Coturnix japonica: one gene and its partners. The main gene of each other region encodes a partner of the protein of the gene in region 3 in a complex. Links are inferred from orthologs where the notes say so. Each region holds a gene or a part of one and is shown on either strand. Other genes may lie near its edges. The genes, in order: MIDEAS, MORF4L1, HDAC1, SAP130, CHD4, MTA3 and RBL1.

Region 1 (3,835 bases), on a different chromosome or scaffold from region 3:
GCTACTGGCTGTTTCTCTGCATCTCTGCCATTCTGAGCGATGGCATGCCTGTCCGTTTCCATCTGGCACAGTTCACTATTGGCTAGGACATCCTTCTGCCCCTGATCCATTCTCTTGGGATGTGAATAGCTACTTTTGTTATGGGTCAGTGATTCAAGTGGCTGCTGCAATGGGACTTCTTGCTGATGTGTTTGCCAGTGATGGAGAAATAAATTGCCAGATTGTTCTTCTGCCTGCTTGGAAGCTGTCACTTCTCCTGTAGATGTCATCAGGGCACCTTCTTTAGAGAGTCTCCGTGACCTTCTTGGAAAAGGAATCTGGGTCTGAGGTAGCACAGTCTGTTGGTTCTGCTCTGTTAGAGCCTTGAATAGTTCCTGGTTCCTCTCTGTTTGCTGAAACTGGTGTGCCATCATGTGATGCTGAGGTGCCGCAGCTGCCACATGAGGCTGTGCTATGGAAGTAGTTTGCTGTAGACCAAAAACTTGTGTGGCAGCCTGTTGTTGCTGCTGCTGCTGAGGATAGAAATTTTCAAACAGTTGTAGCTGGGGAAGAGCTTGCTGTTTTTGTTGAGCAGTAAATGCTGGAGTGGAAGAAGCTGGGGCTTCTTGAAAGACATGCAATAATTCAGGAAGACCTTGCTTCTGGCCTTGGTGACCAAATGCAAGCTGAAAAGGCTGTAATGGCAGACTTTGATTCTGCTGCTGCTGTTTCTGCATCTGATGAAAGGAATTCATTTGTGCTTGCTGTCTAACCAGAGCTTGCTGCTCCAGCTGAGCCTTCTGGGACATCATTTGTTGGACTGCATCTTCATACAAATCCATCTGAGACACAAATACTCCTTTCTCTTGATTTCTTTTAAGGGCTTCTGGGTGACCATAGAAGCCCGGGGCACCTGCATTGGCATGGGGTCCTTTTGGATTGCTCCCAAAAACCATACTGTGGTTCCACATTGCAGATGGAGACTGCCAGTGGGCATCGCCTCTCTCTGGCAACCTGTTTCCCATTAGTGAATTCTGCCATTTGACAGCTGTTACTGACTGGGACATCATCACTGATTCTCCCCTATCTTGACTGTAAACTGAGTTCATCAAAGCAACATTGCTGGGGGCACTTGTTAATCCTGCTGTGTGAGGAATCTCCATAGTTTGGGAGGCTGGAATATTCCCTCCGTGACCATAATACTGTCCTTCTTTAAGCTGCTGCTGCGGCTCTTTTGATGACGCAGTTATATCTTGCTCATTAAAATAATTAATTCGTTTCCCAGTCCTTTTGGTTGAAGACTTTTGCTGAGCCTGAAGATTCATGATTCAGTCTATTCTTCCAACTGCACACACCGTATTTATAATACACCCATCCCTGAGACTGGGGGAGAAAAGGCACATAAATCTCTCTTTTCCATTCAGTATTAGTAATAAGGGGCAGGAAAGAAGTCCAGATGAAAGTGCCTCCACTTCCTTTTTCTATGTGCGCTTCTCACGCTTCTTTTCACTTTTATCCTTTGTTGTTCACAGGTCAGTAGGGTCCACTTAGTTGTAGGTCCTGAAATAGAGAAGCAATTACAGTGAATCATTAACAGATAAATGGAATATAAAAACTCATGCAATAAGCAGTTATGTGCATATCTGTCCTATTTCTGACGGAAACAAAGATCTGGACAGTGTGTGTAAGAAATAATAGATATGACTTGCCAAGAGAATGTAAAACAATTTAGTTTTACAAAGTAGATATAATACATTTGCATGATGCAATACCCAATTGCACACAGGCTTCTGACTAATCAAACTCTAAATGCTTTTCTCTTAAACTCTCATCTGGACAATTAGCCAGGATAATCTGAACTCAAAAACACAAAACAAAACAAAACCTTCATGACTCACCAAAGAGAAAAATAATGTGTCAGGCCACATTTCCCAAAGACATTCAAACACACTAAGGCTGCAGCCAAACACACAGCAAGATGCTCCAGTGAATGTTTTGAAGAAAAGAATCAGGCAACAGCCCATCACCCCCTACTAACTCCCCATCATTATAGTTGCTTTCTGTCATGGTTTTGGCTGGGATAAAGTTAATTGTCTGTATGATGATGTGTTTTGGGTTTTTTGTGAAAACAGTGGTGATAGCACACTGATGTTTTACTTATGGCAGAGTAGTGCTTACACAGAGAGCCAAGGACTTCTCATGCTGACCTACACAGAGAAAGCTGGGGGAAACAGGAAGCTGGGAGGGGGCTCAGCATCAAACTGACTAGAGGGATTTTTCATATAACATGGCACTGTGCTCAACAGTAACTACTGGGGAAAAGAAAGAGGGAACATTCGCAGTGAAGTTTGTCTTCCCAATAAAGTAAAACATGCGATGAGCCCTAGTTTCCTGGGAGTGGCTGAACATCTGCCTGCAGATGGGAAGTTGTTAATGGATTCCTTGCTTTGTTTCACTTGTGCACCTGGTTTTTGCTTTATCTAGCAGATTGTCTTTATCTCAGCCTGCAAATTCTTCCACTTTTACTGTTCTGATTCTTTCCCATCCCACCTGGGGAGACTGAGCAAATAGCTGTGTGGTACTGAGCTGCCCACCAGGCAAGACAAACCACACTACTTTCCAATTCAGAACTACCTATCGGGCATCTACATGCTGCAGAAAAGGGCCTGCTCAAGCTTTAAGATGGTTTTTTTCAACAGCTGAAAGCAACTGCTCTTGCTCAGGTCACACTCGCGGCAAAGCAGTTCAGTTTTACATTTAGTGAAATTGTTAAACTGTGAACAAACAAGTAATGATAGGCAAGTCTCTGTTACTGTCTCTTCTTGATATACACTTCAAGACAGATTGTGCCAATATAATTCTGAAAGATTTGTAAGATATTTTAAGATGGATTTAAGATATTAAGACATTTATAGCATACTTTTTACCATAAAATCAAGCTTCCTTTGATGAATGAACTTAATTCTCAGGCATCAGAGGCGCAGGTACAAACAACAATTATAGCTCTGTACCCCTTCAGGGATTTTGCAAAACATTTGAGACTTTCCCACCTGAGCTCAGCTGGTCATCAGGAATTATGGGGAAAACCTTTAGTAAAGCATCACTTGTAAGTATCAACTAAATGGCCTTAAATCTCAGAGACCCGAAAGCATGAAAGAGAAACACTTTTTTTGACTGACGAAAACAGGTTTGCAAATTCCCTATTACTAAAATAATACACTTTATTCCAGAGTCACAAAGTGTTTTAGAAACAAACATGCAGTTTAGGGATCAACTGCAGGAGGCACCTCTTCTTCCTTTATATGAAAAGGCAGTTTTCCTATTTGTACTGTACGTACTGGAAGGAATTTTCAAAAAAGAACAAGGCTACTGCTCAGAAAAACTGTCCTTGAATTTCACAAATCTGCACAAAGCTGCTAAGATTAACACACACACTCCATCAAAACCTGAAATAAATCCTTTAGTCTCTCTGTATAAGATGAAAAATAATAAGAAAGAACTATACAGCACACTAAAGTTCAGTAACTTGAGTTTCCTCAAAATGGATACGGCTACAGTGCAGGTTTTATTACTATGGCAGAGTTGGTAGTGTGTCAAGGAGGAAAAGACAAAGGGTTTAAATTAACTTATGCAATTTCCACCTTGGAGGCCAGGCTTGGCTCTGGTTCTAGTGGAACCATAGGCCTGTGTTTCACAGAGCAGTGACTCACTTCCTCAGTCTGTTACATAGCTGTTCCCTCTGCTCCCTCCCCCTTCACCCTGGCTACAAACCATGGATCTCTGCCACCGCATATCACAGAGCCAGGGCGTTCCTTCCTTTTCTAAGTGCAACTTCTCAGCTCATTTTCCAGTCCTC
Region 2 (4,269 bases), on a different chromosome or scaffold from region 3:
CCGGCTCCAGCTTCAGCTGCCACGGGCGGCTCCGCACCCTCGTTCATCCCCACCCGCACCCCGCGCTCACCTGGCTGCTCGGTGCCGCCGCTCCGCTGCCCGCCCGCGGCCAGAGCGGCGGCGAGGAGCAGGAGCCGTCCCGGGGCCGGCATGGGTGCGGGCAGGGCCGGGCCGGGCACTGAGCGTCTCCCGGCCCGCGGGGCCGCCCCGCCGCCGCTGTTCTCCCGGCCCGGCCCCGCCGCTGTCCCGCAACTGCCGGAGCAGCTCGGGAGTGACCCCGCGCGGCCGCCGTGAGCGGGACACGGCGTTCAACACTTCGCAGAGTGGAAAGCAATAGGGTTCTATGGTGAGAACGGCCAAACAACGTACATTTGCTCTAAATCATCTCCTCCCACCGGGAAAACGCGTGGTTTTGGCTCCTCTGTGAAAGAGCTGCCTCTTGTTTCACAGCAAACCGACACAAACGTCAACCAAAGGCACTTTGTTACTGCTCCATTGCAGCTGTCTTGTTTCCCATTAGAAACACAAGGGCTGAGTCCCTTTGTACATCTCTGTCATTTTGGGGTTGTTTTTTTGTTCTCTTCACGATAAAACACAGCACTTGGATCCTTTTGTTTAAGTAACTCCTTGGCAGAGCACAAAGACGGCAGGGAATCATAGTCCCTTCCTCACTAACTCCGGACTGCTGCTAACTGAGCTCATTATAGCACTTCCCTTCCCTGTACCCATCAGAACTCAGCAGTCAGCTCTATTGAAGCCAGAAGGCTGAAATGTTAAAAGAACAGCAAAGACACGGGTTTGGTTTCAGATAAGCAGGATTGGAAAGATCACTTGTGAGTCAGGTTTAATGGCTTTATAATGACATTATTCCAGTGACATTTTTCAAACGAAGCAATTCCTGCTCAGAACTCTGCATTTCTATGCCTAAATCCAACAGCAGAACACTACAGATGTTACATATAGGATATAGTTTACGTAGGCGCAGCTGAGAAGGGCACATGGACAACAAGTTCGGCAGCGCCCGGCTAGCTCAGTCGGTAGAGCATGAGACTCTTAATCTCAGGGTCGTGGGTTCGAGCCCCACGTTGGGCGTAAAGTTTTTCCTTCTCTCTATATTTTTATCACGTGCTCCTCAACGGCGCTCGGATCCGCACCGCAACGGACGGAACCGAACGTACAGAACCGGATGGACGGAACCGGCCCCATCTCGGGCCTGTCCCGTTGCGCCGCCCCGCCCCCCGCACTACCGATCCCGGCATGCTGAGGGCTCGGAGCAGTGCGCATGCGCGGTGCGGCGGGGGTTGGGGCCGGCCGCGCAGGATGCGGCGGAGGTGGTGAGACCCCGCGGGGAGGGGGCGGGAGGAGGGAGCCGCGCTTATAAATGGCGCCCAAGCAGGACCCCAAACCCAAATTCCAGGAGGGTGAGTGGGGGGGTCGGCGGGCTGAGCGGAGCTGGGGGGGCTCGAGGGTGAGCGTTGAAGGGGCGGGGGTCGGCAGGGAGCGAGGCCGGGCCCTCGCGGGCGGTGGGAGGCCGCTGTGGGGCCTTGGTAGCGCACGGCTGCGCGGAGCTGGTGGCGGCTGTGGGCGGGACGAGCAGGAACAAAGGGAGCGGTTGGAGGAGCCGTGCTGCGCACACACTGTAGTGCTCGGGGATGGGGCCCTGCCGCCTGTTTGGGGCCCCGTTATGACCCCCAGGCGCTGTTTGGGGCTCAGCTTTTGCCCCTCTGCCGCACAGAAGGAGAGTGGGAGGAAAAATGGGCTCTTCTCTTCCTGTCCCTCAGCTTTCCTGCCCGTAAGAGCTGGGCGTGCCCTTCTCCCCCGTTATTCTCCATGTGCTTGTTTTCCTGCAGGTGTTACATCTCCTAGATGGGTTAGATCTGTGTCTTGGGATGGAGATGAGCTCTGTGTAACGCTGCCCTTGCTGGGAAGCTGGGTTAGGGCTCCTTGCACAATCACAGGGCTCTGCAGCCGATGCTTGTGCTGGAATCCATACCTGTATGAGCAGCAGAGATTTTAGGATGAATGGTAGGGGTCTGCTGCTTACGGGGCTTATTTTGTGTTTGTCCCAGTTTTAAAATAATGGTTTATGCTAATACAGGTAATGAAGGTTTGTCCCCTTTTCCTCTGCCCCATCTTCACTGTGCCTTCTGTTTTGAGCAGCTGGCTTTGCAGAGCAGTTGCTCATGGTGGCCTGACACAGCGACTGGATGGCAGCTGATGTCAGGACACATTCGGTTGTGCCACATGTCAGTAGCAGCGTTACTGACCTGCAGAGACAATCAGGATTTAATGTGAGCTTCATGTTGTAGTGAGTTAATGCAAAATGTAGTGAACTGGAAGCTGAGCAGAATGAGCTCAGTGCAGCATTTAATTGAAGAAGTGTCCCATGAATGAAGCTTCCTGAAGTGCTGAAACTCAATTGTTTTATTACGGCCATCACAGCATGGCAGATAAAATGCCATGGAGCTTGAAAACCTCTCCTTAAAATACTGCCAGTAGTGTTGGGTGGGTTTGGCAGCTGTTATGTCACTTCCTTAAAGGAATGGGTGAGAAGGAGGCTGGATTGCTGTGATAACAGGTGAAAGCCTGGAGCTCCCAGTGTCCAATTGGAAGCAAGGATACCCCTTAAAGTGAAGGAACTGCCACTTTTTTCATGTAGGCTTCAGAAATGAGATCAGATTTGGTCAAGTGTGAATTAATGGTTCTTTGGGTGTTCTTGCGTCTGTTCACTGAGAATGGAGAATATTGAGTCTTTCTCAGATGTCGAGTTCAACCTTTGACTTGCTTAGAGGAGATATATCTGATATCTTTGCTTTCGCATCTGTTCTCAAGATGGCTTCGACATCAAAGGCAAGACTTGTGTCACATCCTTCACACACAACTTGTGAACCTATTGTTTCTATAAATACTCTGCATGTAAAACAGTTGTAGGAGGGGGCAGCCGAACTGAGACTTCCCCATTCCTACCCTGCTTTGTGTTTGAGCAGGGCGTGCTGGCATGGGAGCTGTTAGTACACAGCACAAATGCTTCATGTACTTTGGCTTCCTCAAGTGTTAGCAGAGGACTAAAAGGGTCACTTGTTGGCAGCTCTAAACCCATAACCTGCAAATCGGCTGTTCCTGAGCTGTGGGGCTGTGGGGCATCCCGTCGAGTCCCCCTTTCCAGCCCATGCAGCACCAGTGCTGGTGGCTCTGCTCTGCCTTGTGTATTGTAGCTGTGTGCTACACACTGGAGTGTGTTACACAGCTTCTCTCTCAGCGTGTGATGCATCACAGCTCTCAAGAAGGAAACATCTGCACGCCAATGTCCTCTGTTAAGTATGCTCAAATTCCTGCAGTAGAGCTGCGCAATAGGAGCTTACCATTTAGAAGCTGGGATGGAGGCTGAAGGATGAGCTCTGCCTGCTCAACACCACTAAGTGAGCAATTTTTCTTGCTGTTGTACAAGCCTTTCACTCTTGTGTCCCACAAGTGGGTTGGGGTAATGTCAGAATTCTTCTTCACTGAACTAGAAATACCAGGAATTGCACTTCATACCAGGAAGGGAGTGATGGTAACACTTGCTTTTGTTTGTCAGCAGCTTAAGATACAGGCACCTCATACCAAGAGCTGGTTCCCTTCTCTGAGTCAAAATGCGATGTCATGAAGACTGAGGAATCCCTTACAGCAGAATGGTTTTACCTGCTGAAGTTTGTTTGTACCAAGCCAGTGCATTTTCATGTCTGTGTCTGTAGTTATGGCTTTGATGGAGGTCTGGGTGTATCTCTGAGTTTCCTGCTAGGTTGCTGTTGGATTTATTCTGTGCTGTACTTGATAACATGTTTTTGAGGGTTGGCATTGCTTTTATTCTAAGGTGGCTTTTTGTGACTGTCTTTCAGGTGAACGAGTGCTTTGTTTTCATGGACCTCTCCTTTATGAAGCAAAGGTAGGTGTGGCTGCTTTTTACTGCAGGTGGTTCTGACTTGCCCAGGAAAGCAGAGAACTGCAGGAGCTTACTTGCTGTGCCCTACCTATCTAGGGTTAATGACTGAAGCTAAGAGGAAGGAAAACACACTCATAAGTACACTTCAGTTTTAAGCCCCATGGTTCTGTATTATGGCGAGGCATAGAAACACCAAAAGACCCCAACAAAACCAACTGAAGACCCATAGTAGCACTCTGCAGCTGTTCTGGTGAATTACTAAGGTTGCATCTTTTGTGTTGAACATCTCTAATGCGTGTCTGCTCAGAACACTGGGCAGCAAACTTGGTGTTTGCAAGCTAGCAAGT
Region 3 (2,992 bases):
CAGCTGGGAGGGCTTCCAGCCATAGCCCTCGTGCTTACCCTTCTTCTCCTCCTCCTCCTTTTCCTCTTCTGTTTTCACACGTTTGGCCTTCTTAAAGTTGGCAACGTTTTTGCGCCCTCCTTCCCCTTCATCTTCGGAGTCAGAGAATTCTTCATCACAGGATATTCTCTTATCAGAATTGCGGACTGAGAGTGAAGGGGAGAAGAGGTCAGAAGATACTGCGCACTAATGCTTGGAGATGTACAGGCTCTGTGCAGTGCACTTCCCAGCAGAGCAATGCAGCCATGCCAGAGGCAAGCACCTACTTGAAATGCGCTTCTCAGGATCTTCTTCCTCTTCATCTCCACTGTCTTCCTGAACAGCATCCTCAGGAATTGGCTGCATCTGGACACCAGGGGCATGAGGCAGCATGCGCAGATTCTCAAAGAGACGCTGCCTAGAGCCAGCCAGGAAAGGAACATGTTTGTATTTACCCAGCAAAAGGTGTCAGCCATGTGAAGAAGGGCAAACACTTACTTGATCTTCTCAAGGTACTCGTTGGTATTTTGGTTAGTCATGTTTGAGGGACTGATGTGCAGCTTAAAGTCTGGTCCAAAGTACTCAAAATAGTCATTATATGGGAGTTCTGCATAAGAGTTAAAATAGAACAAAAATCAAATCACCTCTGGACCAGTAATGAGATCCCTCATATACAGCAGATTTCAGTGCGAAGTAAGAGCACAGCTGTACTTTCCCAGAGGTAGGAGTTGACCATTTCATAGCCCAAACTCAGATCAAAACAGCCAGCTTAGCAACAGGGCAGTCTAAGCTCACTTGGCAGTTAAATGTTATCAGTGTGAACAAAAGATAGCAGTAGAAGGTCATCTCGTTTGCAAGACTGCTGGGTATCTCTTGATGGAGGGGAAAACTAGAAGGCTGTAATGCAAACAAGAGCAACTACTGCAAACCACAGACTCAAAAAGCTCTTCCACAGTAACAACCAAGAGCTAATGAAACATCTTGCTGTTCCTGCCTCCCTGCAGCAACACTCCCTCCCTGTGCTCTGTCACTAGGTAAGTAGCCATTGTCTCTTGTCTTGCCTCAAAAGTTCCAGGGGAAAATTACCATTTGGGATCTCAGTGTCCAAAGCCACAGCAGTCTCATAGGTCCAGCATCTGGCCACGTTGCGGATTGTGTAGCCACCTCCTCCCAGCATCAGCATAGGCAAATTAAAACTTTTGACAAACTCCACACACTTGGCATGACCTGCAGCAAAGGCAGCAGGGAAAAAGGCAATAACGCCATGGCACAAAGACCCATTTTTCAGTGAAAAGTAATAAGATTACTTATGCCAATTTAGCTCAGGCACTGTGCTGCACAGTTCTGGCTTCTTGGCATCACAGACCCAGCCTTGTTATTTTGATGGAAACACTGTATTCTTACCTTTGATGGTCAGATTAAAACAACCCAGCCTGTCCCCAGACAGTGAATCCGACCCGCACTGCAGGACAACTGCACTAGGCTGGAATGTCTCCATCACTTTAGATATCACCTAAACAAGAAACTCATTGTTACACTTTCTCCACAGGACAGTGTCACAGCAACACAGTAATGTCCATGTCAGCAAGTGACGTGAAGACATCCCTGGTGTTCCCACAGCTGTTGACTCCCATATACTGGGAACACTGGGGCTCTTACCAAGAAAAGCTAAATGATAACAGGCTGCAATTGTTAGGGAGGAACACAGCCACTGAGGAATCTTACAACAGCAGTCTGAGTCTCCTTAAAGAATGGCTCCATGAGCCTCCCAGTGACAAAGTATGATGCACAAAGAATCACTCAGCACACTTACCGGCTTGAATATTGCCTCATAGGACTCATCATCAATCCCATCCCGGAGGGGATAGTTGACAGCGTAGTACTTGCCTTTGCCTGCACCAATGTCCTGTTAGAGGGAAAGACAGGACAGAGCACAAGGTCACCATAGCACACAAACTGCACAATCAGTATGACGGCAAATGGAAGAGTGATCACATTTCAGAGCAATTTTCTGCTAAGGTTCCATTCTCACCCGCAGGTCCCCTGTTCCTGGGAAGTACTCTCCATACTTATGGAAGGACACAGTCATCACACGGTCTGTGGTATAGAAGGCTTCCTCCACACCATCTCCGTGGTGAATATCAATGTCAATGTACAGGACCCTCTGGTGATACCTAGGATCAGAAAGGAGTCAAAATGCTGCATTTCATCAGAGCAAATGGGAAGAGGGCAAAGAACTGCACCTACTTTAAGAGCTCCAGGATAGCCAGGACAATATCGTTGACATAACAGAAGCCAGAAGCCTCTGACTTCTTAGCGTGGTGAAGGCCTCCTGCCCAATTCACAGCAATATCTGTCTGTTGCTTGTTCAGCTTCACAGCGCTGGCTGTTGGGAGAAGAATTACAAAATGTTAGCACAAGGGCAAAGGACCAATGGCAGAGGCTCAGGGGTGAAGCACAGGTCTCTTGTCATCACATCATTGTTTGTGTGTGCTTTGGGCACAAACCCAAGGGCTTAAACACTGGATGTCTCAACAAACAAACAAAGGAAATGGACGAGAAACGCAGCCTCTGTTTCGCATGCACACACTTTTGGCTGCTTCCCCCACCTACACCTCAGAGCACGAGATCTGCACAAATAAGTGCACAGCTTTCTAGCCCAGCTCACACACGAAAACAGCCCAGAATTCCCAGTGTGCCAAACAATGGACTTTAAGGAAAGGTTTTACCCAATATATATTTAGGTCAGTCACTGAATACGCATTTAGACAAGGAACATTCTCTCCCACGGCTCCTTTGTAAACTTTCTGCAGTTTTGCAAGTCTCCAAGGATTAACAGAAGTGATACATTCTGGGGACGCACAATCTTGGGATCACAAAGCACAGCTACTTCAAGAAACAACATCAGAACGCTGCGGTCAGCACTGGTAGGTACTGCTCAACTGTGTGACAGGAAGCCAAGATTGCTGGATGT
Region 4 (3,835 bases), on a different chromosome or scaffold from region 3:
TGTCAGCTTAACCTGAATCGTTGCTTTCCATTTTATTTACTGGGCCATTAAGACTTCATACTGTGCTCATATAGCATGTCATACCTCAGTCATGTCACAAAACCAAGTCCCTTGTTCTATATTGAAAAGCAGTAGGCAGGGATCAGAACTATAAGAAAGTGAGGCGTGAAGGAACTCCTTGACTTATTTTCTGTGCTACTGTGAAAGAGAAGTCATTCCATTTTCAGGTTGCTTGTGTTGAAATCCTAATTTATCCACTTTCTCAACAAGAGAAACACCTTGATGCTTCAAAAACCACCTACCAGATACCGGTCGCATTATGTCCATAGGTTCCACCTCCTCTTTGATTTTTATCTCTGGCACCACAGGTCCCAGCACTGCTGAAAGGGCCCCACTCATGGTTGCTGGAGGAGCAGGAGCAGCCACAATTGTGGTAGAAGTCGGTGGAGCAGCTGGGACGGCTCCTGGAATGGTGGACAGAGCTGCTGCAGGCTGCGAGGTGGGGCTGGCTGCGGCAATGATGGTTGGAATGGCAGAGGGGGGCTGCTGGGAGGAAGGAGGAACCGCGATGGTGGGCTGCTCACTGCCTTGGTTGGACACAGCCTCCATAGACACTGTGACAGGAGTGGCCATGGACACGTGAATCTCAGGTTTTGGTTTGGCACTGTGACATTGAAAGAAAAGTAAAACAAATTGATGTCAACTGCATCTCGGTCACAACCTTCTAGCACAAAGTAAATGAGACCAGCTGGACTTGGGTCAGTTTCTTCCTGTACCAGTAACACCTGGCTGGGTAATGACTGTAGTAGCAGGAGTGTGTGTCATCTCAGCTGTGCTCTCTAAGCCCTTTGTCTAAGGTGCTGTTCTCTTCTAATGCACATGCACATCTCACGACTGACTGCAGATGGCCTCAAAACGCTCACAAAAGGAGCAGTGCAGCTTCACAGTGCAAACAAATAGAACGTGTGCCCAAAGCTGTACTGCCCTCATCCTTTTTGTGAGAGCTCACACTCTGGGGCTAGTGGTTTTAAAACAATGAATTACAAAAGCCACCGGATACAAGTGAAGCAGGTAGAATTCAGCTTCCTTTAGAGTTAACGTCAAAGAATTATAGAGAAAAGTTCTACAGCACGGCCTTTAACACAACATGGTGATTTTCTTGTCACTACCTCCACCCAAACTCATAACTGTACCCTTTAAAAGCCCATCGCCTCAGCTTCGGAACACAAGTACATCCATTCAAACTCATCACACTGACAAATATAAAACACCTTTTCCAAAAGAAAGCACCTCAATGCCCAAACACCACAAATCAGACACACAAATGAAGCCAGTACGACGTAGTTGCTTTTCTCCCTGTCTTACCCAGCAGGCCTTGGTGATCCAGACGTGCTTCGCATCGTATTCTCAACACGTGTGCTCGCTACTTCAGGTGGCTGAGGTGGAATTAAGCTTTTCCGGACTGCCAGGCTGTAAGACAAGGGCACATCTGAAGTTCCCACCTCTGATGCAAAGATAAACACCACTGAAAGGAAAGGAATCAATCCCCTCTTGCCAAATCCAGGATCGGAGTCAAATCTCTCTCTGTGTGCACTCACTCTAACCAACCTGCTATAGAAAGTCTTGTTCTTAACCAAGCCTCTAGGTTTTATTTTCTTTAAAGATAAGAGATTAGTTGCTCTGGCTGAGACTCCCTCACATTTGGGGTTTCTCCAGAAATACCAGCCTTACTTTCACTTTGCCAGTCAAGGCATCTTATTGAGACTGCCAGGCTCCAGATGTGGGGGGGGGGGGGAAGGGAGATCTGGCCACACCAACATCCCACATAACCTCAGGACAGAGCAAATTATCCGGAACTAAACAGCACAGCACTAAGATGGGCAACTGCTTTACTTAGTTGGAGCAGACTGTGCCAAAGCCTGGCTCCAGGATCTCCAGACCTGCACGTGGACGTTACACAGCTCAGTGCTGCACACAGAAAAACATTTAAGAGACTTTTCAGTCCCCTGTGAGGCTGAAAGAAAGACTGTCTTCCAAATAATCAGACGCTCAAATGGGAACATTCTCCGGTGATCTGCAGCTGCTTCTGTAATTTATGCCTTGGTTTTACAGCTTGCAACTTCTCTGCCTTAAAGGATTCCACCCAAATGAAAAAGAAGCACCACGGTTTAGCCTCATAGCACATATCAGCTCCAAACATATTCAGTCATTAATCAGGAGGAAATGGATTGTTAATTCTAATGCTTTCTCCTGCCTCTTTTATTCAGGCAATTGAAATTAAGCTAGAGAACATGAAGTATTTTAAGTGATTCCCTCCCCTTTCCCTAATCAGTTTGCACAGCAGGGTACCAATCCACCCTTACTATTCATCCACACACCCTTCCAAGAAAAGCTCTGAAAGCAAAGCATGGATTTCTAATTTTAGTAATTGACCTCTTTGGATTTGAGGCTTTCTTGCTTAGCTTAACAAAAACCACTTTCCCTTTAAAGGTCACTTTCAAAAGACATCTTATTACAGAGAGGAGGAAGCAGCTATGATCCATCCTGGAGGAGAAGAAACTGTGCTTCACAGATCAGCAGGTCACTTGCAACCACTTGCTGACTGTATAACGTCCTATCCACAATCAAATACTGCCATGTAGCTGGGCTAGATTGAACACAGGTGCCATTTCTGCGTCCCCCCTTCAATCTTACTCACCCATCTGTGGTTGGTTTCTTCCGCAGGATGCTGGGGCGTGGGGAAGAGCCCTGTGCTGGGGCACTGGCACTCTGGCTGTGGGTCTGTACAACTGTAGTTGCTGCAGAAGCAGTGTTGAAGGTGTTGCTAATAGGGTTGGCTACAATGGTGGCTCCATCTGCCAGTACTACTGCTGGGGAGGATGGATGTTGGCAGAGCAGAGAGAGGAACAGAGGAAAAAGGAGCAGTTACTGAAGGAGGTCTGACAACAAAGCAGGTGTCTGCAGAACAGATGCTGTCTCTGCTCCTTTGACTCCCCCAATATTTAGCTGCAGCGCTTCCAGTACTCTATAACTAACACCATAACTACTACTAATCTGCCAACAAGGCCTCCTGCAGGGCAGATAACAGCCACCCCCTGCCTAACAACTACTGGCTACAGAAATACTTCTTCCAGAAGAAATGGAAGACACACAAATTGCCAGGGAGGTCAGCAACACAACAGGGGCTGCTGGTGGAGGCCACGTGGCAACTTTGAACTTTGTAAGTGAGCTGGCAGCTCTGCTCAGATTCTGAGCTGCTCACCAAGCCCTGCCAGGAAAACTAACATGCAGAACAACAAGGCAGGGAGTCGCAGTGCTATCTGCCAGCACAATGGTAGCTCCTAGCTGCCATTTTCCCTTCAGTCCATCACTGGGATCTGATCACACAAACCCTTCCTTGTGAAAAAAGGGCTTTTAATCACAGTCTGAACTGGAGGCACCTCACCATGTTTTACTGCTGCAGTGACCCAACACAGCTGTAACAGTTCAGTGAGCATCTGCTTGTAAATAGCTCTTCCCACAAGGATGGACTGAAGAGAACCAATGACTGCACTGTCAAGTTTTTCCTGCACACACAACCCATCCAACACTACCCATATATTCTACCCAGAGTGCCTGAAAAAAGCCAATGAATTGCATTCACTAATTATTTAGTGAAGGAGAACATTCATGGGGATGTATCTGATCCACCACAATGTCATAACCCAGAGTTAAAGAACCCCCTTGAGGCAGAGCTGTACAGGAGTTATGGGTTCAGTCCACTCACCTGAGGTCTTGGTGTCAGCCTGTGGCTGCTGAGCGCTGATGGGCGCTGGCTGCAGCCCCTGCGTGCCAA
Region 5 (4,305 bases), on a different chromosome or scaffold from region 3:
TTACTGTTCACAACACTTACAGTTAATCATATGGCAAGGTACTACCATACACCCTCTCTCCAACAAGGCCCACTTCCACAACATTCCTTCTCCCAACTGAGCAGTTCCTAGGGACCAGAAGTTTGCTCTAACTGAATAAGAAGAGGGAAGGGCACAGAGTAGATTACCATAACTAAAGGAATTAAAGCAGCAAGTACATTTAGCAAGTATGTTTGAGACCTGAAGATAACGTTTCAGTCCTCCAGAATAAAAAAAGTGTTCTTCTTTTCACCAGAACAGAGTACCCTACAGCTTACAGACATTAAAATACATTCATAACACAGTCGAGCAAGCCACTACTTGTCCTCCCCATAGGTAAGCCGCTACTTAGCAACTCAATTCTAATCCAGACTTGATATAGCCTTCTCTCCACCCCTTCCCTCTTTGTCAGCAGCTAGCAAGCAAGCGCCCAGCGCAGGGACAAGCAGCCAACTCCCCATCACCATCCCTTCCATCTGTGCCCCTACCTCTCCCAACCCCAGGGAGAGCCGGGCAACCCTTTCCTTTGTGGCAGGCTCAGAGAGCAGCCCAGCCATTCGCTCTCCCCTGCCGCCCCGCCCATTGCACACAGCCAGAGTCACTCCTTCTCCCTCCAAGGGAAAATGGCCTCCTGACCACAGGAGCTGGGCAGGATGGAGGCAGCCTCAGGTCAGGTAGCTGCAGCAGGCAGACAGAGCAGAAGTAAAGCCCTCGGAATTTGGGGTCTTGCAGTCCTGCCACCGTGCCAACTAATTAGCAAGTCTTTGCTCACATAGTCCTGCAACACCAGCTCATATGGGGATTCCACACCTTCTCCAGCTAATTCAGAGCTTAAGTATCCCACCCCTTCCAATGCTTTTCCCTAAAGCTTTCAGGTCTGCAGTGATTTTAACAGTTTGTTTTCCTCAACAAGGCTTCCCTCACAAGGCTTAATGACCATCTCCCCTCTACCTAAGAGGTACCAAATGCAGCTCAAGTCAATACCCTAAAAAAAAGCCAAGCCTTCCACAACATTTTGCCTCTCCACTTGTAACGTTTTCTCATTTGATATTACAACACTACAACAGGCATGTCTTGGTGGGAAAACTCAACAGGCCAACACATCAGAATACATACAACCTCTTTTTGCAAGGAAACAGAGAAGCCCGATGCTTATGGCTTCCTTAGTGCACGCATCAATAACATTCAAAACAGCAGAGTACCCAGGGCTCTAACTCCAGTCTCATGCAGATGAGGATGCAAGCAAAAGGGACAAGGCAACAAGGTAAGGTACAAAGACTATGAGAAAAGCAAAGGTGAGTAGGCAGTACAGAAAACGAGCCACCAGAAGCCTCAATAATTGGGTGTGGCAAAGAAAAAGTGGGTCATGCAAGAGCCCAGGGCAGTTTGCTCTGGACAGCAGCAAGCCTGAGATCCCAGATGAAACAGCCAGACATCCTCCCCTTTCACATACACAGCCACCTCCCCCAATCCAGGAATATGAAACTCAGACATTTTGGTCAAAATTAAGACATAACACTGACTGCTCACTCCTTCCCAGAGCATGAGCCCCCACTGACAACCTATGGTATCTCGGAACAAAGTCTGCTCCACCTGACACAAAGCCACGAGCCTCACACTTGGAACTGGGATTCCAATAGTAAAGATCAAAAACATACATTAACTCCTAGCTGAAGGGACATTCCTTCACAGAGCATTTATTCCACATATCCAGCCCAAGGAAAGCATTACCCCACCTCGCACGCTTGCCCTGCAGGCCCTCAATACCTTGATGCTGGGGGATAGCGTTGTTCAACAGGATCTCCATCTCATCGTCATCACTGCCCCCCGAGCATGGCGACGGAGATCCGATGCCCGATGCCATATCCTCTGAACCAGGGGAGGCCCAGGCTCACAGAAGTGCTGCCTTCCTGCCGGTGAAGCCAGTACTTCATTGAAAAGAATTAAGAGAAAGTTATAGCAGATGCAAAACGCGGTTTCCCAAGCAATAGTGCAACCAAAAGGATTCAGGAGAAAAAGCTTAATGATTTCATTACACCGGGAGCCGCCAGATAACATGTACTCTGGCAGCAGGTATCACATCAGAGTTGTGATGAAGCAGGCTTTAAGACAGCAGACGTTAAACTGAGTCAGCAACTCATTCCTCACAGGGAGCCAAAACAGCTGTCCTATAGGGAACATCCTCCTGCCTCCCGCAGCCGGTGCCAGACCGGAATGAGCGCCCTAGGTTATTTCTACCTTCGCCTGGGAGAAGGCGGGGAGCGGAGCCGGCCTTCCCACGGGCTCCTTGAGCCGCCCGGCGTTCCGTCAGGGCGGCGGCCGGCGGTCCCGCAAGGCGGCGGAGCCCTCCCGACCCAACTTGGCGGGCCGCCCGCCGCGCTGCCCCCGGGACCGACACAAAAGGCCCCACGGCCGCTCCCCCGCCCGGAGCGCAGCGGGGCCGCAGGGCGGGGGACGGCTCGGCGGGGGCGCGGGGCGGGGCCGGGAAAGTCCGGCCGGCGGGCGGCGGGGGTCCGGCTCTCCGCGGGGCCGGCTCCACACCGGGGCCGCACGGTAAGGCCGGGCACGGCGGGGCGGCCGCTCGTCGGGGCCGCGCCGGGAGGCGGGGCGGGCAGCGTCCCGCGGCCGCCGCGGTCCCGGGTCGAGCCGCGACCGAAAAGCGGCCGGGGGAACAGGCACCGGGGAGAGCCCGCGGGGCGGCGGGCACAACGCGAGGCACGGCGGAGAGGCCGCGCCCGCCCTCGTTCCCTCCCAGATCCTCACCCGGCTCCAGACGGCAGCTCCGCTCCGCTACCGCCGCTGCTGAAGGGAAAATGGCTCCGGCCCCGGCACCGCCTCTTAAAGGGGGGAGAGGGGAAAAAAAAAAAAAAAAAAAAAAAAAAAAGAAAAAAAAAAAAAGCAGGCTCCACCCCACTCCCGCCTCCATCCCATAATATACCCCGTGAACCTGGCAACAGACCCCGCCCCCGTATCCCCGGCAACACCCCCCCCAGCCGAGACATCCCATAATATTCACTCTCCCCTCAGAACTTCCCACTCGCCGCCCGGCCCAGCATCCCATAATACTCGCCCTCTATCCCCCCTCGGGTCCTTCTCTCCCTCCCCCCCCCCATCGGGAGCATCCCATAATACTCCCCACCTCTAACCCCTCGCTCCGGCATCCCATAATACCCACGCCGGACCCCCCCCTCCACGGACACCTCCTGGGGGTTTAAGCAGCCGATCCCCTCCACATCCCATAATAGTCACACCCCGGGCACGCATCCCATAATAGTTCTCCCCTCCCCCTGCGCGGGCAGGCATCCCATAATAGTCGCCGGGAGCCACCGGCCAGCCTGCCATCCCATAATACCCGCAGCGGGGCTCCGACACCGCCCCGCCCGCAGCGGGACGGGCCCTCGGGGGGCACCGCCATGGCCGCGGGGGGCACCGCCATGGCCTCAGAGCTCAGAGCTCACCCAGGTGTCCCAGCCCGCACGCCCGGCTCACACCGGGTACGGTCCCCCGGGTCAAGCAGCCACCGGCTGCACTGAGTGTGGGTCTCCCGGTGACCTCTGCCGCTGCTGGACCGTACGTCGGGGATGTAACGCGAGGTGCACAACGTGGTAGCGCCCTAAAGCTGTCCCCGTCCTAAAGGAATGCGGGGCATCCCTGCTCTGCGCCCTGCTGCTGCCCTACACCTGGCACCATCGCCTCGCCCGTACGCCCTAATTGCACACACGTCGCCGTGCCGTTAATGGTCACTGTATGGCACCGCTCGCCCCATGGCACCTCCGTTAGCTCGCCGGGCACCCAGCCCTGCCCACCTCAGCCCATGAACAATGGCTGTCAGTGTCTGCTGGCTCCTCCCCTGGAGCACCGCCGCAGCATCCCGCGCTGCCCATGCACACAGCCGTTCCTCCATGCACACCCTGTGCCGCTAGCACAGATGGGCTGGGCGGTGTGGAGCCCAACTGCATTGTGTTCCTTCGTGTGCTTATGGAGCCCTGCTAATACAACCCTGCCTACACAGCCCTCTGACCTCTTGCCTTACACAGGTGCCGCCCTGTCCTCTGTCCCTTTGCATTGCGTTGGTTCTCTCAGCCCTACAGAGGACAGGCAGCAGTAAAGGGCTGCACTGTGCACACCTATGCACAGGTAAGTGCAACAGAACACCGTGCCACTGCAAACAGCGGTGTGCAGGCTGGGAGCTCTCACACGGACCCCAGCACAACTCCTGTCTTCCTTCTGTGCACTGACAGCTGCCCGTGAGGGCCAACTAAACCGAACATCTAACAAGATCATAAG
Region 6 (3,835 bases), on a different chromosome or scaffold from region 3:
TTACATTCTGCCTTAATGGCAGCACAGTTAATAGGAACAAAGGGACGTCTTGCTGCCTGCCGCAGCCGAAGGGTATTTTTGCAGACCTGACGGGCAAGTTTTGTCCAGCATGTTGTGTGAAGAAAGAAAGCTTGGCGTGTTTTCACAGCTGACTTTGGACTTCCAGTGTTACGAACTGGAGTTCCTTGTGTGGCCTGCCGGGACATATGAGTTCTAACATGGGTTTCCTACAGAAATAAAACAAAAACATAATAATAACACATACTTGAATTGCACAATCGGAATCTTTCCTACTAGTGACAGGCCGTACCAAAAATAATTCTGTTTAACAAAAGAATTATCTGGTGTTATTTGATCCTGTCACATCAAGTTGAAAGAACAAGCAGCCTGCTTCCACCAAACAAATGAAGAAAATGAACAAAAGATATTTTCCTCATAGTCAATTAAATAACAATAATAATAATCCAAAAGTTGAATAAATTCACAAGGTTAAAAACTCATATGTATAAGTGCTATTCAATAAACTGGGACTACGTATATGAAGCCATGCAACATACTGAAGAGTGCTGCTGTGAATTGACATACATTATGCCATTCTAGATGTTTTATAGTTAATATACCAATTGCTTGACAAGATGACATTTATCTAACAAAAATGCAAGTGGACATTTGTCCACATTTCTATTGGTCAAATAAAGAAAAGTCAGGACTAGCACAATGTTTAGTTGCACAAAAGACAGGAAAACGATTAATAAGATAAGTTTTGTAACATCACGGTTCAACACATATATAAAATGCATGCCATTAATTATTCAAACCACAATAGTGTTGTGAAGACATCAAACTTCACTTCAGGAAGGCTTATCTACACAATCCTACCTCTGCAGGTTGGCTGGAAGAGAGTTTATCTTCATCTGTCTGCGTGGGCATTTTCAGGCCACCATATTTCTTCCAGTAAATCCAACAAGATGCACACAATCTACACTGCATATTAGGAGGACCCCAAGAGTACCACTGGTGAGACTGTGAAGCTAAGGATGAGAGAACACCACAAATAAATTGCATGCTACATTCAGAACAGTATATTCAAATGCTGTAATGCATTCCTCAAAAGCAGTATCAAGAAAAATATTTAATTCATTTGAAATGAAGAAAATAGAAACTTATCTAAAAGCACCTCAAAGTCAACTCCAAAGTGAGAACAGTGAAGTATTTCTGCATTTACTTTCCAACTTAGGACTCCCTATAAGCTTTTCTTCCAGGGTTCTTAAAAGACAGAAGAAAACCAATCAGGAAAAAAAGAAAATAAACCCCTCCACTCTCACTCTCTGTGACTTCTCAACTTTAACATGGCTAATTAGGACACTTGTTACATAAAGAAAATGTTTAAGATCTCTGTTTCCACTCTGTGACCTCCAAGTTGCACAAAATCAGAACTTACAAGTCAGGATCCTTTTAAGAAAAGGGTAAGCACATCTGCTAGCTTTGAAGATGCATGCCTATCTTTACCCCATACATGTTGAGTCTCATTTAGAAACGTTAATTTAGTCTTTTATTTTTGTAATCGAACTTATCAGAAAATTATTCCTTAAAAATATAACTTGAAAAACAACAGATGTATGTAACTAACTATATCAGAAACTGTTATTTCAAGAAGGGCCAATCACAAATTCACTAAATGCTAGAGAATTAAAAAATAAATAAATAAAAATTAAAAAAAAATAAAATTACTCGATCATTTCATACCCAACACTGACAACAGCAAATTAAAAACAAAAATGAAACAAATAAACAAAAATCTGCAACAAAACCCTTAAAAACAAATTTAAAGGACAAACAAAAGTAAAGATTTAGAAGCCCGAAGGTAACAGAATTTCATCATTCAATACTTGATTGTTCCATACTTACTAAATTGCTGATGAAGAAAATGAATAAGTGGATTATTGTTGATTAATGTTAAGAGTATTAACATTTAATCAATTTATTGAAGGCAGATCTAATCTGAAGTTATTTCTGCCACACAGTTGATCAAAAATTATTTCTTATAGTATGCAAATAAAAGTATGTAGATGTTGTTTAATGTGTATTAAGATTAGTCAAACTCCTAAATAATTCCAAAATTAAACAAAATTTTACTTACTATAGCAGCTTTCACAAGCCCTCCCTATTACTGAGGCTGGCGCCTGGTAAGAGGCTCCCATTGCTCCATTGACTGTAGCAGGTTTCCCAGTGTTGTTGGATATTTGATTGGGATTTGGTTTATTGCTTCAAAATAAAATAAAATAAAATAAGTCATTTTTCAGAAATTATTTTCTAACCCTCTTATAAAAATGAAAACAACTTAATTCCAGAATTCTGTTTGGTGACAGCATCTGTACAAATTAGCAGAGGACTAATCTTTATGTTTCTCCAGTATTTACAGTACACAGTTGTTTCATAAAGAGCTGCTTCAGTACCACACAGTGCACATTTACAGATCTTCGTATAATGGTCAAGCCTGTTTAGCAAGCTACTAAAGACAAAGCCTCAAAATAAAATAAATATGAAATAGAGATTATATCTTGGTTCTATAAGCCACACATTAACAAAAGCAAATATAGAACCAAGTTTAAATCTAAAGAAGTAAAATACAAATCTCTGAGGAAAACAGCATTCATTAATAAGAACTGATCAAAGGCAAAAGATTTTGGGCTGAGTGCTACCTTTAATTTATAGCCAGAACATCTTGTCTCTAAGTCAAGAACAGATGATATCAAGAAGATAAAACTGTAACCAATGTGAGTATCTGATTTTATGTAACTACATTAACAGCCTCTATTTCGAAATTCTACATTTACACAAATATTAATATTAAATGTAAATATAAATGGTATATTTAAATATAAATATTAAAGGTAGAGCTACAGAGATTCTGAAGCAACTGCTCCAGAAAAGCCGCTTTTAAATGACAAGACCCTTCTTGCATGTGAGCAGTTCGTGTAGCACTTTATCAGCTTTTACAGAAGTGCTCGACTTTCCAGAACAGAAAGTTTAGTGGTCAAAGTCAGTGAGTTGAAATAAAGACAAAGAATTTATATACACGTAGAAATATTATCAGAAAATGCTATATACTGCTTGTATATAAATAATAAAAGTATCAGGACAATGATGAAGGGAATATCACGTGTGCTGATACACATTACAGTTTCACCTATAAGTTATTAAAAAAAGAAGTTTATTGTTGTACTCACTAGGTGGGGATGTATACTTGTTTCAATTTACTTTCCGCTTCAGCTGCTTTCAGACGTTTCTAGATGAAAAATTAACACATTAAAATACTTTATTATCTTCAAGTACACAAAGTCATAAAACTGCACACAATCCAATCTTAAATTCTTTGTGTTTTATTCCACAGTTCTACAAAAGACTCTAAAAAAAGTGTAGAAATGTGGAAGACAGAAGTCATTAAAAAATAGAGCTGTCTATTTTTATTATTGGTTTGAAATTACAGCACGCTGTCCTTCCTGGTAAAACTCAAAATCCTCAGCACATGACAACAAATCTGTAGAAACAACAATGAATATGTATATAAATTACATTTTGGGGAAAAAAAAGTATGACACTGTAGCTAACCCTTATCACAAAATAGATGGAAAACAAGTGAGTGAAACTGTACATGATGAGTCAAGTCAAGTAACTCAATACTTCTTGTGTGCTCTATCAGCTTGAACTGATATTTTATAAATAGTACAAGGAAGTGGAACAGGAAAGTCCACCAAGCATCGGCATTTATTAAGTGTCATTAAGATTCTGTCAAGAACACAGCAGTAGCAGTAAAGCTACACTGCTATAGAGA
Region 7 (4,533 bases), on a different chromosome or scaffold from region 3:
TCCCACCTCAACAATGCGACAGCAAGTCGGCCCTTACCAAAAGCACAAGGAGCATTAAACAGACCTTTCCTTTAGCCAAGACCAAAGCAGCACAATGCTGCTGGTAAGAGGCACAGGCCAGGTCAAAGCTCAGGTCTATCCAACCTGTAGTAAATGCAGTACTCTGGAGCTGTGCTGTTACCTCTGCCCCTCGGCAGGGAGGAACCTACTGGGCAAATAGAGACATCTCCACGGAGCTTAGAAATACCTCCAGGAGCAAAACCACACAGAACAGTTTTTCCACCTGTGACCCCAACCTCCTCATTCAGAGCACTGTGTTTAGCCCATGACACACACCAGGATCCAGACAATCATGACAGCTACTCCACAAGATAACATCATCTTTAATTAAAACAGGTTATCACCTGCAATTTCCATACTGCCAAGGAAGCAAGGATTCTCCACTGACATAAGAAGCCAAAGCAGAGGGGGGCCCTACAGCACTCATCATTAGAAGGGAGAGTTCAGCTCCGCTCCTGCCAAAATGCACAGAGGAACAGACCTGAACCAACACAAGTCCTCTGCCTACCAGTGCACCTTCCTCCATACACACGGGATTTCAGTGTTCAAGACAGGACCGTCAGTATGAGCGCTATCACACATCCTTCAAATAGCAATACGAACCTTCCTATCAAACAGCTTAGAAATGTATGGCTTGAAGTAGTGCTCCTTTATTCCTTTCGCTTCCACAAGAAGCCCATCATGCAGCTCACACAGCGTGGCAATGATGCACGGGGGGTCCTCTGAGGCTTTCATCTCTAGTGCGTGGAAGTCAGCTGGTAAACCTGGGAATGGGCGAAGGGGAAAAACAAAACAACCAACCTCCATCTTTACTTAAAGAAGAATAACCAAAGGAACAAAGTGTATTTCATTTTGAATAACTGATCCCCACCCTACCTTTAAACGACGGATTTAGCAAATCTCTCCGATTTGGACACAAAATGGCATTTGCAAAAACCAGGTCCAAGCAGCACAGAAGCAGATGATAGGAATTTACTAAATCATCCCCAATCATACGGAAATTACCTTTAAGAGACAGCACATCATGTCAGGCGACGCAACAGAAGTTTGTAACTCAGAACGCATGCGAAACACGTGGCTGCAGAGCACAAGCCTACCCTTAGTGTACACAAACAGGGTCCAGCAGAAGTTGAAGAGATCCTTAACACCACACAGCACCCGCCTGTCAACGAGAGGGGTGGGAATCAGTCTCTGCTTCCAGGAAGCTGAAACATACTGCTTAGCAAGTTTCCTTCTGTTTCCATGCTCAAAGCAACAGACAGAGCCATCACCTCATGAGTGCAAACTAAGGCACACTGTAAGCTGCGGGCACACAGAGCAGCTCCTCTTACTGCAGCCTCCTGGATAGCTCTGCAGAGCTTCTGGCACAGCATCACCGACTGCTCTGAGCCAACAGCTGCCTGTGCTTGGTGCCCCAGGCACACTGCTTTGGTGATGGTGTAATTGCAACTGGAGTCTCATAGAGCTGCACGCAGAGCCATGCTGAGGGCTCTCTCAATTGCAGTGCATCTTTCTCCTAAACGTTTTACTAATGCATCACACATCCCTTCAAAACATGCAACCACAACTTGCACTGCAGCTCTTCTGGTGAATAGTCTAGGAGAAGAAATGAATGAAAACCACCTGACAGAGAAGCTAACAGTGCGGTCACGCTAATGAGAGCTGCTCTGATGAAGGAACATTAACAGTGCATGGACATTTCTCCTTGTGCAGACGCAGCAGAACTGGCTGCAGCAGCAGCAGCTCCCTTCCCATTTGTGCACAAGGAGCTACACCAGAGCGGGTTACCACAAATTAACCCCTTGCATCCAGACCAGCACGTGAAGCAGCAGAAACCCCCAGCAAAGAGCCAGCTCAGCTCCTGCTGCTGAAGGTCGTATCCTCATCAGAGCAACCAGGGACAACCACACAGTCAATGCAGAACAAGGACAAAGCCCTTGAATCTAGAAGCGCTCTGTGCATCAGGAAGACACCAGAAGCAGTTACAGTGTCACACAGATGAGCACATTGTCTGCATTTTTCTCCCACAGAAGGGCAGCGCTCACCTGGCACTCACATACGGGCAGTCACATAAAGCAGCCGCACGTTGGAGCCCCGCGGACGGAGCACCCTGAGAGGCACGGGGGGACTGACAGCCCAGCCTCAGCCACCGCCCTGCACCATCCCTGCGTTCACACTCAGTCACTTCAAAGCTCGGCCTTATTTTCTAAGCACAACAAACGTTCCCGTTACTTGTAAACCCATGCAAAGCCACACGGCGCTCTGCAGTACCTCTGCTTCCTGCTGCGCTGGGGTTTCCAGGTCTCCTCGTTGGGGTTTTGAAAGACATCCAGAAATATGGGCTCGAACTTCCTGAAGATGACGGTGGACACCTCGAAGTTCCTCTCCAGTCGCTCCACCCGCTCCCGGAACTCCTGCGGCACGTTGGCCATGTCCATCCACTTCTTCATTTTGCTAAAGAACTGAATCAGACTTAAAAGGAAAAAAAAAGAAAGAAAAGCCGACGAGGAAAGCGCCACTTTATTATCGGCTTTAACGCGCGTCCGTTCTCAGCGCCGCCCCGCGGGCCGAGCTGCGCACCTGAGCCTGGCGGAGCGCAGGATCCGGGTGAGCGACACGCCGTTCCCCTCCACGGTCCCGCAGCCCACGGTGGGCAGCACGCGGCGGCGGCACGCGGCGTACAGCGCGCAGGCCAACCAGTGCTGCGCGTCCCCCTGCAAGGCAACGCCGCGCGTGGGGCCGGGGCCGACTCGCCACGTCGCGGCCTGACGCCCGGCCTCACCGCCCACCTCCAGGCTGTAGGTGCCGCGCAGCGCCGTGAAGTCGCGCAGCGCCTCGGCCGCGCTGCCCGCGTCCAGGTTGAGCTCCCGGCACAACCGCTCCACGGCGGCGCCGAGCTCGGGCTCGAGCAGCGGCTCCGTGCGGGACATGACGGCGGCCCAACAACGGCCCGACCCGGCCCGGCCGGCACCGCGCCGAGCTGCTCTGCGCGCCAAAACCCACCACCGGAAACGGCGCGGCCGCTTCCGGCGCCGTGAGCGCCAACGGGCGGGAAACGGGAGGGGAGCGCGGGGCTGGGAGGGGCTGTGTGTGTAACGGAGGGGGAGCGGGCGGGGCGGACGGAACCAGGACGTGTCCGTGTCCGTGTCCGTGTCCGTGTCCGTGTCCGTGGGATGGCTCGTCCCTGGGCCCGTCCCATGTGCGCGCTGTGCCCGCCGCTCCGCAGAGCCGCCGTCCTCGGTCGCGGTGCGGGGCGGCCTCGTGTGTCACGGCGCTGCCCACAGCGTCACCTTGTGCCGAGCGGGGCTGCGGGGCCGGGACCGTCCGCACATGGCGCCGTGCGAGCGGCTCCTCGGGCAGCAGCTCGGGACCTCGGAGCTGCCCCAGCCCCGCACGGCTCCACGCACCGCCGGGAACTGACCCTTATCGCGTCCGTCCGCCCGAGGAACCGAACGGCGACCGCTCAGTAACGGCGCCGCCCTGAGCCGGAGCGACACCGCGAGCCGCTGCTCGGCACCTGCGGGCGTTCGCCGGGCTCCGGTGCAGGTGTCGCGGTGTCAGTGGGAGAAGGACCGTCCCGCAGAGCGGTGCTGCCCGAGCGCACCGAGCGATGCCGGCCGGTACCGCGGCCGCTCTCCGGGCTCCGCCTCCGCCCCCGGGCGCCCCGCAGCGCTCCGGGATCAGCCCGCCGTGCCTTGGGCCGCTCCGCTGCGGGAGCACGGCGGGACCTCGGCGCTGGTGCCGAGAGAAAAGCGAGGAACCGGTATCACAGTCAGGTGAATTAAACGTTCACATATATTTGCTGAAAAAAATTATATACATCTGTAGCAAGGCTCTGCCAAGTCTGAAAGATAAGCATCATCTCGTCACTAAATTAAAAAAATAAAAATCTGACCTTTAAATCTTTTTTTTGTTGGTTTTTTTTTTTGTTGGTTTTTTGTTTTTTTTTCCTTTTCTTTTTATCCACATCCAAGAGCACAGACCTTTATTTGTTAGCGCGTTTGGTGGGGATGTGTTTGTGTGGGGATCCAGGACAACCCGCGGAACGTCGGCGTTTCTTTGGGATAGGATGGAAAATGAGAAGGAGCTGCCAATGCCTCACAGCGCAAGTAATGCACAGAGCACATCGGGTTGCAAAAGGGTCACAAAGCAGTCAAAGAGAAGCCTAAACACCCAGAGACGGAGCGGACACGGCTGATAATAGAACAAGGTACAGAGCATGCCAGCTAATTAAATAAACGCCACTTACAACCCTGTTCCCTACCAGCGTAACCCTGGAGAAACCATCCCGTGCAAGAAACGGACCATGAAGAGATGTCTGCGTCCAGTCACAGTAAGGCTTGAAGATACAGCAAGTTTTATAGCATTTGTATTTTAAGGATTTAGGGCAAGTACATGTTCTTCTACTGAATAAAAAGAAAGTTAGTACTTAAAAGGTTCAAAAATATAGCAATCGTGATTTTTTTTTTTTTT

The links.
Region 1: the proteins of HDAC1 (region 3) and MIDEAS are in contact, whole or in part, in a cryo-EM structure (PDB 6Z2J), measured with the Homo sapiens proteins. The link is inferred for Coturnix japonica from reciprocal best matches to the Homo sapiens genes HDAC1 and MIDEAS. Residues at the interface, in NP_004955.2 of Homo sapiens: Tyr14, Gly17, Asp18, Asn21, Tyr23, Gln26, Lys31, His33, Arg36, His39, Leu43, Asn44, Tyr48, Arg49, Lys50, Met51, Glu52, Ile53, Tyr54, Arg55, Pro56, His57, Thr65, Lys66, Tyr67, His68, Pro81, Ala119, Val122, Lys126; in NP_001036783.1 of Homo sapiens: Arg722, Asn724, Gly726, Ser727, Arg728, Phe729, Gln730, Glu732, Pro734, Leu735, Met736, Arg737, Asp738, Arg739, Ala740, Leu741, Ala742, Ala743, Ala744, Asp745, His747, Lys748, Ala749, Asp750, Leu751, Val752, Trp753, Gln754, Pro755, Trp756.
Region 2: HDAC1 (region 3) and MORF4L1 share a complex: the UniProt entries of both Homo sapiens proteins name them as parts of the SIN3B complex. The link is inferred for Coturnix japonica from reciprocal best matches to the Homo sapiens genes HDAC1 and MORF4L1.
Region 4: HDAC1 (region 3) and SAP130 share a complex: the UniProt entries of both Homo sapiens proteins name them as parts of the mSin3A corepressor complex. The link is inferred for Coturnix japonica from reciprocal best matches to the Homo sapiens genes HDAC1 and SAP130.
Region 5: HDAC1 (region 3) and CHD4 share a complex: the UniProt entries of both Homo sapiens proteins name them as parts of the nucleosome remodeling and deacetylase (NuRD) repressor complex. The link is inferred for Coturnix japonica from reciprocal best matches to the Homo sapiens genes HDAC1 and CHD4.
Region 6: HDAC1 (region 3) and MTA3 share a complex: the UniProt entries of both Homo sapiens proteins name them as parts of the nucleosome remodeling and deacetylase (NuRD) repressor complex. The link is inferred for Coturnix japonica from reciprocal best matches to the Homo sapiens genes HDAC1 and MTA3.
Region 7: the proteins of HDAC1 (region 3) and RBL1 are in contact, whole or in part, in a crystal structure (PDB 7SME), measured with the Homo sapiens proteins. The link is inferred for Coturnix japonica from reciprocal best matches to the Homo sapiens genes HDAC1 and RBL1. Residues at the interface, in NP_004955.2 of Homo sapiens: Ile414, Ala415, Cys416, Glu418, Glu419, Phe420, Ser421, Asp422; in NP_002886.2 of Homo sapiens: Tyr849, Ile850, Lys853, Val854, Thr860, Phe861, Gln862, Met865, Lys866, Tyr879, Arg880, Asp929, Leu930, Ile931, Tyr934, Asn935, Val939, Lys943, Leu947.

Annotation. Positions count from the first base shown.
Region 1 is NC_029520.1:23,416,309-23,420,143, reverse strand, and holds part of MIDEAS (ELM2 and SANT domain-containing protein 1), read right to left. Parts: intron 1,540-3,835; 5' UTR 1,305-1,539; coding exon 1-1,304.
Region 2 is NC_029525.1:17,848,161-17,852,429, reverse strand, and holds the start of MORF4L1 (mortality factor 4-like protein 1), read left to right. Parts: upstream 1-1,281; 5' UTR 1,282-1,381; coding exon 1,382-1,421; intron 1,422-3,878; coding exon 3,879-3,925; intron 3,926-4,269. Other genes in the region: ADAMTS7 (A disintegrin and metalloproteinase with thrombospondin motifs 7), read right to left, coding at 71-152. UniProt on the Homo sapiens protein: Component of the NuA4 histone acetyltransferase (HAT) complex which is involved in transcriptional activation of select genes principally by acetylation of nucleosomal histones H4 and H2A.
Region 3 is NC_029538.1:4,504,934-4,507,925, forward strand, and holds part of HDAC1 (histone deacetylase 1), read right to left. Parts: intron 2,405-2,992; coding exon 2,266-2,404; intron 2,193-2,265; coding exon 2,051-2,192; intron 1,925-2,050; coding exon 1,832-1,924; intron 1,532-1,831; coding exon 1,423-1,531; intron 1,246-1,422; coding exon 1,105-1,245; intron 626-1,104; coding exon 517-625; intron 437-516; coding exon 306-436; intron 186-305; coding exon 39-185; intron 1-38. UniProt on the Homo sapiens protein: Histone deacetylase that catalyzes the deacetylation of lysine residues on the N-terminal part of the core histones (H2A, H2B, H3 and H4).
Region 4 is NC_029524.1:1,640,137-1,643,971, reverse strand, and holds part of SAP130 (histone deacetylase complex subunit SAP130), read right to left. Parts: coding exon 3,767-3,835; intron 2,871-3,766; coding exon 2,699-2,870; intron 1,471-2,698; coding exon 1,366-1,470; intron 665-1,365; coding exon 303-664; intron 1-302. UniProt on the Homo sapiens protein: Acts as a transcriptional repressor. May function in the assembly and/or enzymatic activity of the mSin3A corepressor complex or in mediating interactions between the complex and other regulatory complexes.
Region 5 is NC_029516.1:69,352,195-69,356,499, forward strand, and holds the start of CHD4 (chromodomain-helicase-DNA-binding protein 4), read right to left. Parts: upstream 2,874-4,305; 5' UTR 2,782-2,873; intron 1,947-2,781; 5' UTR 1,883-1,946; coding exon 1,786-1,882; intron 1-1,785. UniProt on the Homo sapiens protein: ATP-dependent chromatin-remodeling factor that binds and distorts nucleosomal DNA. Acts as a component of the histone deacetylase NuRD complex which participates in the remodeling of chromatin.
Region 6 is NC_029518.1:21,315,232-21,319,066, reverse strand, and holds part of MTA3 (metastasis-associated protein MTA3), read right to left. Parts: intron 3,290-3,835; coding exon 3,231-3,289; intron 2,266-3,230; coding exon 2,141-2,265; intron 1,032-2,140; coding exon 880-1,031; intron 228-879; coding exon 5-227; intron 1-4. UniProt on the Homo sapiens protein: Acts as a component of the histone deacetylase NuRD complex which participates in the remodeling of chromatin.
Region 7 is NC_029535.1:563,892-568,424, forward strand, and holds the start of RBL1 (retinoblastoma-like protein 1), read right to left. Parts: upstream 3,083-4,533; 5' UTR 2,991-3,082; coding exon 2,641-2,990; intron 2,533-2,640; coding exon 2,332-2,532; intron 1,223-2,331; coding exon 1,158-1,222; intron 1,066-1,157; coding exon 937-1,065; intron 825-936; coding exon 664-824; intron 1-663. UniProt on the Homo sapiens protein: Key regulator of entry into cell division. Directly involved in heterochromatin formation by maintaining overall chromatin structure and, in particular, that of constitutive heterochromatin by stabilizing histone methylation.